Oryctolagus cuniculus: one gene and its partners. The protein of the gene in region 3 purifies or fractionates together with the protein of the main gene of each other region. This does not show direct contact. Links are inferred from orthologs where the notes say so. Each region holds a gene or a part of one and is shown on either strand. Other genes may lie near its edges.

What was found. The genes of interacting proteins can lie anywhere in the genome.
Region 1: the proteins of SLC39A7 (region 3) and FAM174A purify together in Homo sapiens (co-immunoprecipitation; 3 studies listed by BioGRID and IntAct, with this or other methods). This does not show direct contact. The link is inferred for Oryctolagus cuniculus from reciprocal best matches to the Homo sapiens genes SLC39A7 and FAM174A.
Region 2: the proteins of SLC39A7 (region 3) and ERBB2 purify together in Homo sapiens (affinity purification with mass spectrometry; 3 studies listed by BioGRID and IntAct, with this or other methods). This does not show direct contact. The link is inferred for Oryctolagus cuniculus from reciprocal best matches to the Homo sapiens genes SLC39A7 and ERBB2.

Annotation. Positions count from the first base shown.
Region 1 is NC_091445.1:23,050,115-23,054,073, forward strand, and holds part of FAM174A (membrane protein FAM174A), read left to right. Parts: intron 1-1,420; coding exon 1,421-1,555; coding exon of another isoform or gene 1,556-1,559; intron 1,560-3,959.
Region 2 is NC_091448.1:22,670,804-22,674,762, forward strand, and holds the end of ERBB2 (receptor tyrosine-protein kinase erbB-2), read right to left. Parts: intron 3,844-3,959; coding exon 3,745-3,843; intron 3,527-3,744; coding exon 3,341-3,526; intron 3,195-3,340; coding exon 3,039-3,194; intron 2,923-3,038; coding exon 2,847-2,922; intron 2,582-2,846; coding exon 2,435-2,581; intron 2,073-2,434; coding exon 1,975-2,072; intron 1,834-1,974; coding exon 1,645-1,833; intron 1,404-1,644; coding exon 1,151-1,403; intron 1,059-1,150; coding exon 703-1,058; 3' UTR 145-702; downstream 1-144. UniProt on the Homo sapiens protein: Protein tyrosine kinase that is part of several cell surface receptor complexes, but that apparently needs a coreceptor for ligand binding. Essential component of a neuregulin-receptor complex, although neuregulins do not interact with it alone.
Region 3 is NC_091436.1:135,903,453-135,907,800, forward strand, and holds the start of SLC39A7 (zinc transporter SLC39A7), read right to left. Parts: upstream 3,125-4,348; 5' UTR 2,957-3,124; intron 2,662-2,956; 5' UTR 2,658-2,661; coding exon 2,229-2,657; intron 2,139-2,228; coding exon 1,970-2,138; intron 1,824-1,969; coding exon 1,770-1,823; intron 1,644-1,769; coding exon 1,479-1,643; intron 1,361-1,478; coding exon 1,220-1,360; intron 966-1,219; coding exon 769-965; intron 336-768; coding exon 63-335; 3' UTR 1-62. Other genes in the region: RXRB (retinoic acid receptor RXR-beta), read left to right, coding at 3,415-3,655, 4,256-4,348. UniProt on the Homo sapiens protein: Transports Zn(2+) from the endoplasmic reticulum (ER)/Golgi apparatus to the cytosol, playing an essential role in the regulation of cytosolic zinc levels.

The DNA.
Region 1 (3,959 bases), on a different chromosome or scaffold from region 3:
CTTGTCATGACCATGAAACCATCACTAACTATATCTTTTGATGGGGCAAGGATGTTTTAAGTAAGAGTTTGTCAAGTTTAAGTTCTACGTAATAATATACAGCACTTCTTTTCTTTTTATTTATTTTTTGTATGGATTAATACATGTACACAAGTAGGATATTCATTTAAATTGGATTGCAAACCTTAGCAATATTGTGGGTATGTGCACATGCACATATAAACACATATACCCATACTTACACATCGATACACATCATGCACTATTAAGAAAAGACTAACTTGGGGCAGGTATATGGCTGAGGAGCTAAGAAGCCACTTGGGGCACCTTCTCATACCTGACTGCCTGGTTTCAAGTCTCAAATCTGCTCCCAGTTTCAGCTTCCTGATAATACCCAGGGAGGCAGCAGGAGATGGCTCAATCATTTGGTCCCTATCAACAGCATGGGAGACCTGAATTGAATTTCTAGCGCCTTTCATTTACCTGGGTCAGGCCCAGCCACTGCAGGCGTTGAGTGAACCAGAAGATGGGGGATTTCTCTCTCTGTTTTGTGCTTCTCTCTGCCACTCAAATAAATAAAAAATAAAAGAAATTTTCAAGACCAAGTTATACTTCATGCTGCCTCATTTTTCTATTTCTGTTTTGCATTAACTCTTCCATTGGTTAGATTTCTAACTTTGAATACTGTGACTACAACCACTGTTTTCTCTTTCTTTATCTTTAACTTGATATATTGATAGATCTATAGTTAGTGACTGGTGGAGGTTATGTTAGTTTTTGTCCTGATTTAGTAATATTTTATATATTTCAGTCACCAAAACCAAGTGTTAGTATGTATTGCAAAAATTCCAATAGATCTGTTTGTGAGAAACATTTTCTTATGTGTAGCATTGAGGTTGTTGAATTGGAAGGAAATCAGGCCTTGACTTCAGGGTCATGGTTTTGGATCACTGAGCTGAAAATCACTAAGAACCTCAAACATATTTAAGAATCATCTTAATCAGTAGGACAATGTGCTAAAAAGTGGTTTTACAGTGGTGAATAAAACAGGCATGGTTGTTAACCTAGTGGAATTTAGTGGAAGAGACAGGGAAATGAATGCCCACATAAACATCATATGAATGCAAATGGAGATAAAGTACAAGCTATTTGAGAGCTAGAAAGAAGAGGTGCCAGGACAATTGGCAGAGAAGAAAATATTTCAGAAGACATTGATATCATACAAACATGTAGAAATAGGTTCTGTTTCAAGAATTATAGGTGATTTTAGTTGGTAAGTTTTTTTTATATTCCTGAAATATAACCATTCTGGTTTTAAGTGCCTCCTTTTTCAGGAACACAGGGATAGTTTATTTTTAATTTGCAAATAAGCTAACAATCACTTATATTAAAATATTTATTAACTTGTTCTTTTTTATAGGATGAGGAGAAGAAATCGAAAGACAAGAAGATATGGTGTTTTGGACACTAACATAGGAAACATGGAATTGACACCTTTAGAACAAGATGATGAGGATGAGGATAACACATTGTTTGATGCCAATCATCCTCGAAGGTAAGCGATCAGTAGTTTAGTTACACGAATCAGGAAGAAGAAAAGCATGGCAAATAAATTGAAGAAGTAAAACAGTTTTTATTCTAGCAGATTTTATCCAATTCTCTTTCATGAAGTCCTTTGTACTTACTTATCCAATACCTTATATTCGTGATACTGCACTGACATAAGTAAACAATAGAGTACCATCCCCTGAAGAAATCTCCATTGAAGATCTCACTGCAGCTTTGCTTTTTAACTTCTTCATCCCTGTGATATATATTAACTCATATGTGTGTGCCAGAGTGTGTGTGTGTGAAATGTTTAGCACACTTGACTTTCTTTTTGTATTCTGAAGATTTTGTTGTTGTTGTAGTTTGAGTTATTGTATTTACATGCAGTATTACTCAGCAGAATTATAGGGCTGATAGTTTATATGGTCTGATAATGAAGTTACATTGTTTACAATCAGATCTATGTTCCCTGAGTGTTAAGACCTTTTCTAAGTGGTTTGGAGAAACATAATTACATGGATAGAGAATTAATTCCAATGTAAACAGAGTCAGGGAAAAGAGGCAACAAAGATTCCAGTCAATAAGGAAAGACTTGTTAGGTAAAGGAAAATTAGAGTCCATTATCAAGTATAAATACAAACAATACAGAAATCCTGAGATTACAAACAACAACAATGATATTAAATTAGATATATATGTATATATGTACATATATATATACAAGTAATGTATTATCACTATTGCTAAAGCAATGTACATATACAGAGATATATAGATATATATGTTTATAGAATATATGTTTAATTTTATTTTTAAAATAGTTTCAGTACATATATTTGTATATATATATATGTATAAAGGAGCTTTTATGATTGCTGGTAATTCATTCATTTAATAAAATATAATAATTGTGAAGTGCCAATTATGCAATTATAAGCATTCGAGCCTTGGTAAGCAACCTGAACAAACAGCTGTATCTGTTCCTAAGGGACTCAGTTTCTTAGCGAAAACACACATGAATAAGATGCATAAATTAAAAAATTTATAACATTTGATTTTATGCCCTGGAAAAAAATAATTGTCTATAACTTTTGTATGGTTTTAAGTAAGTGTAATATTACCAGTTGTTGACTGTGTTTTAGGAGTGAACCAGATAAAACTGCTGATTTGAATTTAAGAACATTGTATGTAGCAGACATTTATCTTTCTGTGTTAGAATTACAGGAAGAATAATGTGGAGAACAATTGAAAACTGAGCTTGACTGGGAGAATAGCACATGATGTATCTCATCTTGGGTTCACTGTGAGAATGTGCTTATTTAGCAGGATGGCAGTGGAATCTGATCACTTGTATATTACAATTACTAATTTAAATTTTTGATAAAGATACTGTATTAAGGCATCTCCTATTTATATACATAGAAAAGAAAGAAAAGGAAGTTATTAATCTAGGAACTCAGCATTGTCACCAAAGAAGAATTGAATTTGAACCCCAGTCCATATATTTCTAACATGGCTGATTACAAACAAAGATTGTTTTAGACAGAAGCAACCACCCACATTTTAATAGTTGTGAAAGGTGATACTTTGGGGAATTCAAGCCACTTAGATTATCTAAAACACAATTTGTTGTGTGAACTTATGTATTTATATATGTGAGATTGGGAGGTAGGAGAATCCAAAAAGAATTGGAACAGGTAGGTTCAAAAATGCTAGCAGTTTCCATGAGATATAATTACTTATGACTATCTTTCATTCTGTATCCTGACTCATCACAGGCCTTCCCCCATTACTTATTCTTCTTTTGTGCCCCATGTTTCATAAATTGCGCATTCCATTAGGGATCTAAACACTACTCAGTTACATCAATAATGAAGCATTAAGCATAAGGTGGTATGAGAACATTTGGAGGGTACATAGGACACTTCACCAAGAAAGTGATGTTTAAACTGAGAACTGAAAGATGACTAGAAATTAGCAATGTGAAAGTCAATATAGGGGCAAGGTTTGGAGACAGGAGAGACACAAAGTATTGGGATAAAGAGAATATAGAGAATTCAAAGAACTAAAAGAAATTAAATAGATGCTATATCAATTTTTGTGTGAATAAATCACTTATTTTTGATTTCTGGATACAGAAGATTGATTGATACATAAGGCAGAACAAGGAGTCAGAAGGCGAATCATGTGGTGGTGATGTCGGGAAAATAACAGACTAAGATGTCCCAGCTCATCTCTCCTCATAAAAGCAATGGTATAGCAGCAATCTACCTATTAAAGTAACTATGGGAGGGCCGGTGCCGCGGCTCAATAGGCTAATCTTCCACCTGCGGCGCTGGCACACCGGGTTCTAGTCCCGGTCGGGGTGCCAGATTCTGTCCTGGTTGCTCCTCTTCCAGTCCAGCTCTCTG
Region 2 (3,959 bases), on a different chromosome or scaffold from region 3:
GCTCCAGGACAGCAGGCTCCTGGTCGGTCCTTGCTTTCTCAAGACTTGCAGCCACGCCCACCAGGAAGAGAGGAGCTGACTGTTGGGTGAGCTGCAGGGATGGCACGGAGTATCACCCCCACCCTGGCATGAGCTAGTGTCAGCTGTTTTCCAAAATATATTTGCAAGTGGAGAAAGTGGGTGTGGAGGGAGGACCCCTCCTCCATACAACTCCCCCTGTTCCCTGGGTCCTTATTTCATCTTTTAAAAAACAAGTAAAAACAAAACAAGAAAAGCACTCTGTACAAGGATGGGGTCTGGCTGCTGGTGCCGGCCCCTTCTCCCGGGGGCAGCACCGAGCCTGAGGGAGAGCCTGCATGGGTGGCTCGTGTCTGGCACACGCCCCCCCTCCTGGGCCCAGCTTCGCTCAGCCCTTCGGTGCCAAGCTGCTGCCTCGCGTGAGGAGGCTGTGGCTGTGGCCCCCTGCACCCTAGAACCTGGCGGTGCGGGGCTCCAGGGTCCACCAGCACTTCCCAGGGCGGGCCCTTCTCAGCCACTGGAACTCAGCAGGCAGGGAGATCCTCAGCACGGGCTCCTGGCACGGCGCAGGCTGCCCGGGGTGTGGTCCAGGGCCCTGTCCTTGCCTCGTTGTGATGTGGGCAGAAGTCAGGGCTCCCCACTCCCTGAGGGCACAGCAGGGCTTCCGCACGCTCGGCCTGTGGCTCACACCGGCACGTCCAGGCCCAGGTACTCGGGGTTCTCTGCCGTAGGGGTCCCTTCAAAGGTGCTGGGTGGGGACCCCCGCTCTGCTGGGTCCTGGTCCCAATAATAGAGGTTGTCAAAGGCTGGGCTGAAGGCAGGAGGAGAGTGGGGCTGAGGGGCAGCCCCTCCCCGGGGTGCCAAGTACTCGGGGTTCTCCACGGCACCCCCAAAGGCAAAAACGTCTTTGACAACCCCATTCTTCCCGGGGGAGAGAGTCTTGGGCCTTTCCAGGGTGGCCCCGGCTGGCCGGGCAGGCGGTGCAGGGCCCTCCAGGGGCGAGGGGGGCTGCGGCCGGACCTCTGGCTGGTTCACATACTCTGAAAGGGCGAGAGAGGACTCAGGAAAGGATCCCAGGGGCCCCAGCGTATCCCCCGCCCACCCGATCTCCACTCAGGCCTGGAATCCATACCGGGCTGGGGGCTGCAGGTCAGGGGGGCAACGTAGCCGTCAGTGTCCGGGGGCAGGGGTCCTGTGGGGTCCTCACTGTACCGTTGCAGAGGGTTGGGGTCGTGTGGCGGGAGGCTCTGCAGCCCCTTGGCTGCCCCCATCCCCAGGTCGCCATCGAATACGTCGGAGCCAGCCCCTTCTGAGGGGGCCAGTGGAGACCTGGGGGGCTCCTCTTCGGTGGGCTCCAGCCCCAACGGCAGCTCACCGCCACCACTCTGGGGACAGGAGAGAAGGTCATGACCTGGGGTGGACACCCCATGAGAAGTGACTGGGTCCCGGGGCATGACACAGTCGCCACAGAGAGGATGGGGTCACGGGTTGGAGGGCAATAAGCGTCGCCCCTAGGGAGAATGGGGTCTCCATGAGGGAGGGGGTGGGGGAACATCCAAGGGGGACTTGGTTCCCTGGGGCGGAGAGGGGAGCAAGCACAGCCCGCAGTGTGACCGAGGCACTGACCCGGGTGGACGAGCTGCGGTGCCTGCGGTGGGCTGTACCCCCAGCGCCCGGAGCAGGGTCTGGGCAGAAGAAGCCCTGCTGGGGCACCAGGTACTCCTCAGCGTCCACCAGGTCCCCCATGTCGTCATCCTCCAGCAGCGAGCGGTAGAAGGTGCTGTCCAATGGGCTGGCGGGGCCCAGGTCCTCATTCTGGGGAGGAGGCAGGCACAGCGTGGCAGCCCCTCCCCAGCCCGGCTTCACAGAGGGCAAGAGGCGGGGGCTGGGCTCGGGGTCCTCATCCCCAACCCCTGCAGGAGAGGTGGGTCGGGACAGGGCAGGAAGGCCCAGTACCTGGATGACCACAAAGCGCTGGGGGTCCCTGGCCATGCGGGAGAATTCAGCCACCAACTCCCGGAATCTGGGCCGGCATTCCGAGTCAATCATCCAACCTGGGGCGGGAGCAAGCTCAGGTCCCGGTCCCGGTCCCCCCAGTGTGCTGGCTGCCTCCCTGGGAACCCCGACCCAGCTCCCCCCTGGCCCAGACAACCCTGACTGACAGCCTGGGACCGGCTCTCTGGTCTGGAGCCAGGATCTCTGGGCACCCCTTCTAGGTTCCCCTCTTAACTTGCATGTAACTCCCCAGACTTCTATAGAAGGGATACCAGACGCTTTGGGGGCTCCTGTAACTATACCAAATCCCCTGGGCCCACTAACATCTGGTTCCCAGCCTCCTCCCAGTCCCCCCCGTGGGCCCCTCCACCCAGGACCTCCCAGCCCGCCTCCAGGCAGCCAGCCCAGCTCAGCCACCCACATTTGACCATGATCATGTAGACGTCGATGGTGCAGATGGGGGGCTGGGGCAGCCGCTCCCCCTTCTCCAGCAGGTCAGGGATTTCCCGGGCTGGGATCCCATCGTAAGGTTTGGCCCCAAAAGTCATCAGCTCCCACACAGTCACCCCTAGGACAGAGACGGGGGACCAGAGGGAGCGTCAGTGTCCTGAGCCCTGCAGCTCTGCCCAGCAGCCTGGCACCGCCATGCGAGTTGGAGATGTGACGTCGAGGGTCCGGATCTACCCGGTCCTTCCTCAGTGCCTAGAAAGTGGGCCCGGGCAGCCCTTGCCTCCCCCACGACACACACGTGCACCCACTAAGGTTCCTCCTAGTCCTCCCCATCCCAGCACCCGCACAGGTCCTCATCCAGCGCCCCCCCCACCGCCACGCACCGTAGCTCCACACATCACTCTGGTGGGTGAACCGCCGGCGGAGAATGGACTCCAACGCCATCCACTTGATGGGCACCTGGGAGGGCAGAGGAGGAAGTCCTCCAATCGGATGTGGCGGGAGGCTGCCGTTCCCAGAATTCTCCTGGGGCTGGGCCCCACCCCACCCAGCCTCAGCTTGCTCGCGCCTCTGACCTTGCCCCCGTCCGCGTGGTACTCTGTCTCGTCAATGTCCAGCAGCCGAGCCAGCCCGAAGTCTGTGATCTTGACGTGGTTGGGGCTCTTGACCAGCACGTTCCGTGCAGCCAGGTCCCTGTGCACGAGCCGCACGTCTTCCAAGTAGCTCATCCCCTGCAATGGGAGGCACTGGTGTGGGGCCTCTGCGTGGGGCTCGGACTGGCCCCATGCCCGGGAAATGCACCCACCCTAGCCCTGTGGAGAGAGGGGCTTGCTCCCCAGGGGCCCACAGAGCCCAGGCCCTGCCCCTAAGTGCATACCTTGGCAATTTGCACACACCAGTTCAGTAAGTCCTGGGAGCCCAGGCGCCCGCGGTGTTCACGGACATGGTCCAGGAGGCAGCCGTAGGGCATCAGCTGTGTCACCAGCTGCACCGTGGACGTCAAGCAGATGCCCAGGAGGCGGGACACATAGGGGGAGCCCACCCCTGCCATCACGTATGCTTCCTGGGGGCCAAAAAATCGTCAGAGACCAAAGACCCCAGCCCCAACTGCCTCCCGTGACTGGGGACCCTCACCCTGCCAACCCCAACCATCACAAAACAGCCACGGACCACAGACGGGGGTGTTGAGTTGAGGTTTGGGAGTCCCATCCCCCCAGACACCAGTGCAGAAAGATCAGAGCCCCACCCTACAGCCAGGGTGTGAGGGGAGCACGGGCTTACGTCCAGGATCTCTTTGTTGGCTTTAGGGGATGTGTTTTCCCGCAACACTTTGATGGCCACCGGGATTTTCACATTCTCCCCATCGGGGATCCAGATGCCCTGAGCAGAAAAACAGCCATGAGCAGGGGTCGGACCAGCCCCACCCGTCTCCCTGAGAGCCCTTCCCTGTCCCATCGCCTCGCCCTCCCCCTCCCCCACACCCCTGCAGGGACAGC
Region 3 (4,348 bases):
CTCTGACCTGGAGTTAGGGGAAGAGGTTTAGAGCAGGGGGTGGGGGCAGTTCATCTCACCTCTCACTCGAGGTGGGCAATCAGCACCATCATGACAACACCACCCAGCAGCCCCAGCACCTCCAGAAGTGACTGTAATGGTGACGCCTCCCTCAACAGCTCAGGCAACACGGACACTGTTGCTACATAGATAAAACCGCCTGCGGTGAACGGCAGAATCCAGCCAGGACCTGCGCCTCCCGCACCATCACTGCCCACTGCCCCTCCTTCGGTTAGAAGGGCACAGGCTGTGCCTGCCAGTGCCCCCACTGCTGTCAGTAGTTGTAGACGCATCGCCTGGTGGAAAGCAGAGAGAGGCACTTATCAATAACTAAAGGTTATAGCAGTTTCAATATATGGCTGTTGAACTACAGGGGTAGAAAACCAAAAGTCAAAGAAAAAAGGGGGTGTGTGGTTTGTCTAGAATAAATATTTCTTCAAAAATCTTAAAGGTTCAAAGAGGTTCTTTCCACAGACTTTCTAAGGTCTGATTCAGCAGCAATGAGTGTGTATGTGTGTGTGTTTGTTAGGTCCCCATAAATCATCTGACAGTTCAAGAAATACTGAGGCATAGGACAAAGAAAACAGAGCTTTTCTCCCCTCAACTCTAGCGGATCTGTTGATGACAGTACAACTCGTTTGGAACTAATGAGAAGGAGTCTGGGTCGGGAGTAAACGAGCAGTGATAAAGGATTTGAGACCACTGTCTTTGATGGACATCACCACCAACCTGCTTTTTGCTGCAGCCAGACTGGACCAAGATGGCAAAATCCCCGACCTCATGGGGCACTTCATGCAGCAGGACGGTCATTGTGGTCAGAATCCCCAGCCCCTGGCCCCCTCGAAAGGAAGCACCAATGGCCAGGCCATCTGTGAAGTTGTGTGCCAAGTCAGCAGCCAGATTCAAGTACCCGGACACACGCAGATCTGTACGGGAGAGGCAGACAAAATGACCAGAACATCCATCGCCCCTATCCCAGTCAGACTTCTCACACCACGGCTCAGAGACCACTTCACCCCTTGGGGTTTCCCCAACACCTGTCACCACCTGCACGTGTATTCTGTGTGACCCACTGCCAGCCCCTTGGTGTTTCCCTGACGCCTGTCATCACCCACACACACATTCTGTGTGAGCCACGATGGTCCCCCTGCCCAGGCTTCTCCCCGACCCCGACCCTCACCTGAGCCTGTTTTTTCTTCCTCAGGGTTCTGAGCTCCCACTGACCCATCTTTGGGCCCCGTGCTTCCTCCTTTCCTCTTCCGCAACACCCCTCCTTCCTTTTCTTCTTCCTCTGAGCTCTGCTTCTCCTTTGGAGGGCACTCTGAGGGAGAAGGGAGTTGGTCAGGGTCTCCTGGCGCGTCCTCCCGCCTGACAGCCATAAGGTGTGAGGACGCTGAGGCAGGCAGGGTAGCTTTAAGGAAAGCTGGCCCAGGGCTCACCCTGCCTCGCACGTCCGTGACTCCCGTGACCGTGACCGTGAGTGTGTCCGTGCCCATGGCTGTGTCCATGTCCTCCTTTCACATGCCTCACGAACTTCTCCACCACAAGGAAAGCGACAATTCCGCTGAGAACCCACAGTCCCACAGACAGGATGGGGCCTTGGCCTGGGAAGGAAGCATTGGGACATGAAGGGAGCCGCAGATTCCAGACATCTCCTCCTCGAGTGCAGGTGCAGAGGAGGGAGACCTTCCCCAGCACTCCGACCCAGGTCTCGGCCGTCTCTTCCTCACCACTGTGTGAGTGTCCATGTCCGCGCTGCTCCACCGTGTGGTGAGAGTGAGGTTCTGGAGGAAGCCGGGGGACGAGGGGAGCAAAAAAAAAAACAACAGATGAGGGGGTACCTGACTCAAAGGGGGAATACTGGAAGGTCACTCTTTTCCCCAAAGAATGGAATAGGTTAATATTTAAGGTAAAATCAGAGGTAACTTACCCAAGGCATGAGGGATGAGGTGCAGGAAAGCATCTCCCAGGAGTCCGCCAGAAGCAAAGCTTAACAAGATTTGCAGCAGAGAACTATGGCGGGGGGAGTTTGACTCCACAGGGATAAGGAAGAGGAAGAAAAACGGCGCTGCAGATATCAGCACTGTGGCCCCCAGTGCCTGGTGGGGAAGAATCAGGTGGTCAAGCGCTGGGTGGTTTCCCAACAAGCAAGAACCAGCCCCTCTCTCCCCCGGCCCCTGGGGACTCACATAGGCCCAGAGAGTGACAGTGTCCAGGTCCTGCTTGATGCCTGGAGCCCCAGACTCCCCATAGCCTCCACGGCTATGCTCATGGTCATGTCCATGTCCTCTGTGGTAGAGGCTCTCATGGGAGTGGCCATGGGAATGGCTATGGCCATGGTGCAAATCCTCATGTGAATGTCCATGGTCGTGACCGTGGGTATGCCCATGCCAGATGCTTTCGTGAGTGTGGCCGTGGCCGTGGCCATGGCCATGGGCATGGCTGTGTCCATGGTGGAAATCCTCATGTGAATGCCTGTGGCTGTGGCCATGGAAGTCCTCTTGCAGGTCCTCGTGCTGGTCGCCATGACCCCCGTGTCCAGCCACCAGCAGACCCAAGGCTGCCCAGGTCAGCAGCCCCATGGCCACCCAGTGGGGGGCCCCCAGGCCTCTGGCCATCACGCTGACCAGAGGGACAGAGACAGTGACTTCACTCGACCTACTGGGGTCCGTTTTATTCCGCTCGCGCCCTCCGTCCACCTCTATGGGCCGCTCCCCCACTCCATTCTGCCCCCACCCCACAGTGTTCCCAAGGCTCGTTCTTCTTTATTCCGACACCACTCCCGGATGGAGGGCCCCCCAGGACACCGCTCTAGGCTTTCATGTGTCACGTTACAGTCTCTCTGGGCCCTTCCTCCCTGACTCACTAGATGGGGAAAAGGCCTGAAAGGGACACAGAGAAAGGCAGGAATTCTCACCGGCTGCGGAGTCCTCTCCTTTCGCGGTTTGCTCGGACGTGGCAGTCACGCCTCCAGCTCCCGCGAGAAGAGGGAAGCTCCCCCGGTACCTTTACCAATATGGCGGCACCCAGCACCCCGGCAGCCGCGAAGCCGCCCAGGCCTGACGCGCACGCGCACGAGTGGAGGTTATTCGCGGGGAGGGCGGGCGAGGAGTGCTAACCCGCCAGAGGAGCCCGCCTCCTCCGTTTCCAACTAGACGAGGGGGCGGGAACTAGCGACGAGACTTCCCGTTTGCACAAAGATGGCTGCCACATCGGCGCTGTCATTTTGGTACACAGAAGAGGGAAGCGCCTAATCCGATCCAGTTCAGGCCAGAGTCTTTTTCCTCTGGGACTTACTCGTGCTCAGTTAGTCCCTCGACCACACCTGGGGAGCCCCTGGCACCTCCTCTTCATCCCTACACTCAGCCGGGGACCATGTCTTGGGCCGCTCGCCCGCCCTTCCTCCCCGAGCGGCATGCCGCAGGGCAGTGTGGGCCGGTGGGGGTGCGAAAAGAAATGCATTGTGGGGTCGCGTCCCGGTGGCGGCGGCGACGGCCCTGGCTGGATCCGGCGGCGGCGGCGGCGGCGGCGGCGGCAGTAGCAGCCGGAGAACAACAAACCCCGGAGCCGGAGCCGGGGGAGGCTGGACGGGACGGGATGGGCGACAGCGGGCGGGGTGAGTGTCCTAGCGGACGGGCGGGCGAGCCAGTGACCGCGTTATCTGCAACCCCACCCCACCCCCTCCTCCGGCGCTCGTTCCCTGGCGCTCCCGCCCCCTTGTTTGTAAACACGCGTCCTCTCCCCGCCGAGGGCCTCAGCGCCCTCCCCCCGGGGCGGGGCGGGGAGGGGGAGCTTCCGCCCTTCTGGCCGCGGCCGCTCGAGGCCCAGCACGCGGGCGGGCCCGGGCGCGGGAAGAACGCGCTTCCCCCTGGGCTTGAGAACCCTGGGCAAACGTTTAAAGGCGCATCCTGCGTCCTCGGAAGGGTCTCTTCCGCCTGTGTCTTTCCCCCGCTCGCTGTGGCCGCTCCACGTGCTGCCCCCACCCGCGAGACAGGTCTGGCTTGGGTGACCTGGTTTTCATTCAGATGCATTGATTGGATTTTCCCCCTCTCTGCTCATCACATTTAGGGCGTGTGGAGCGGGATGGGGTGGGTTGGGTGCGATGCGGGATTAGAGAATTAAAGTCTTCAGTTGGATGATGGAACACTCATTCTCTCTCTCTCTCTCTTTTTTTATCTCTCCTGTCTGTGTGTCTCTGTCTGTGCCCCTCCCTCAGACTCCCGAAGCCCAGACAGCTCCTCCCCAGCCCCCCTTACACAGGGGCTCTCCCCCCCTTCTCCACCTGGGCCACCCCTCCCCGCTTCAGCGG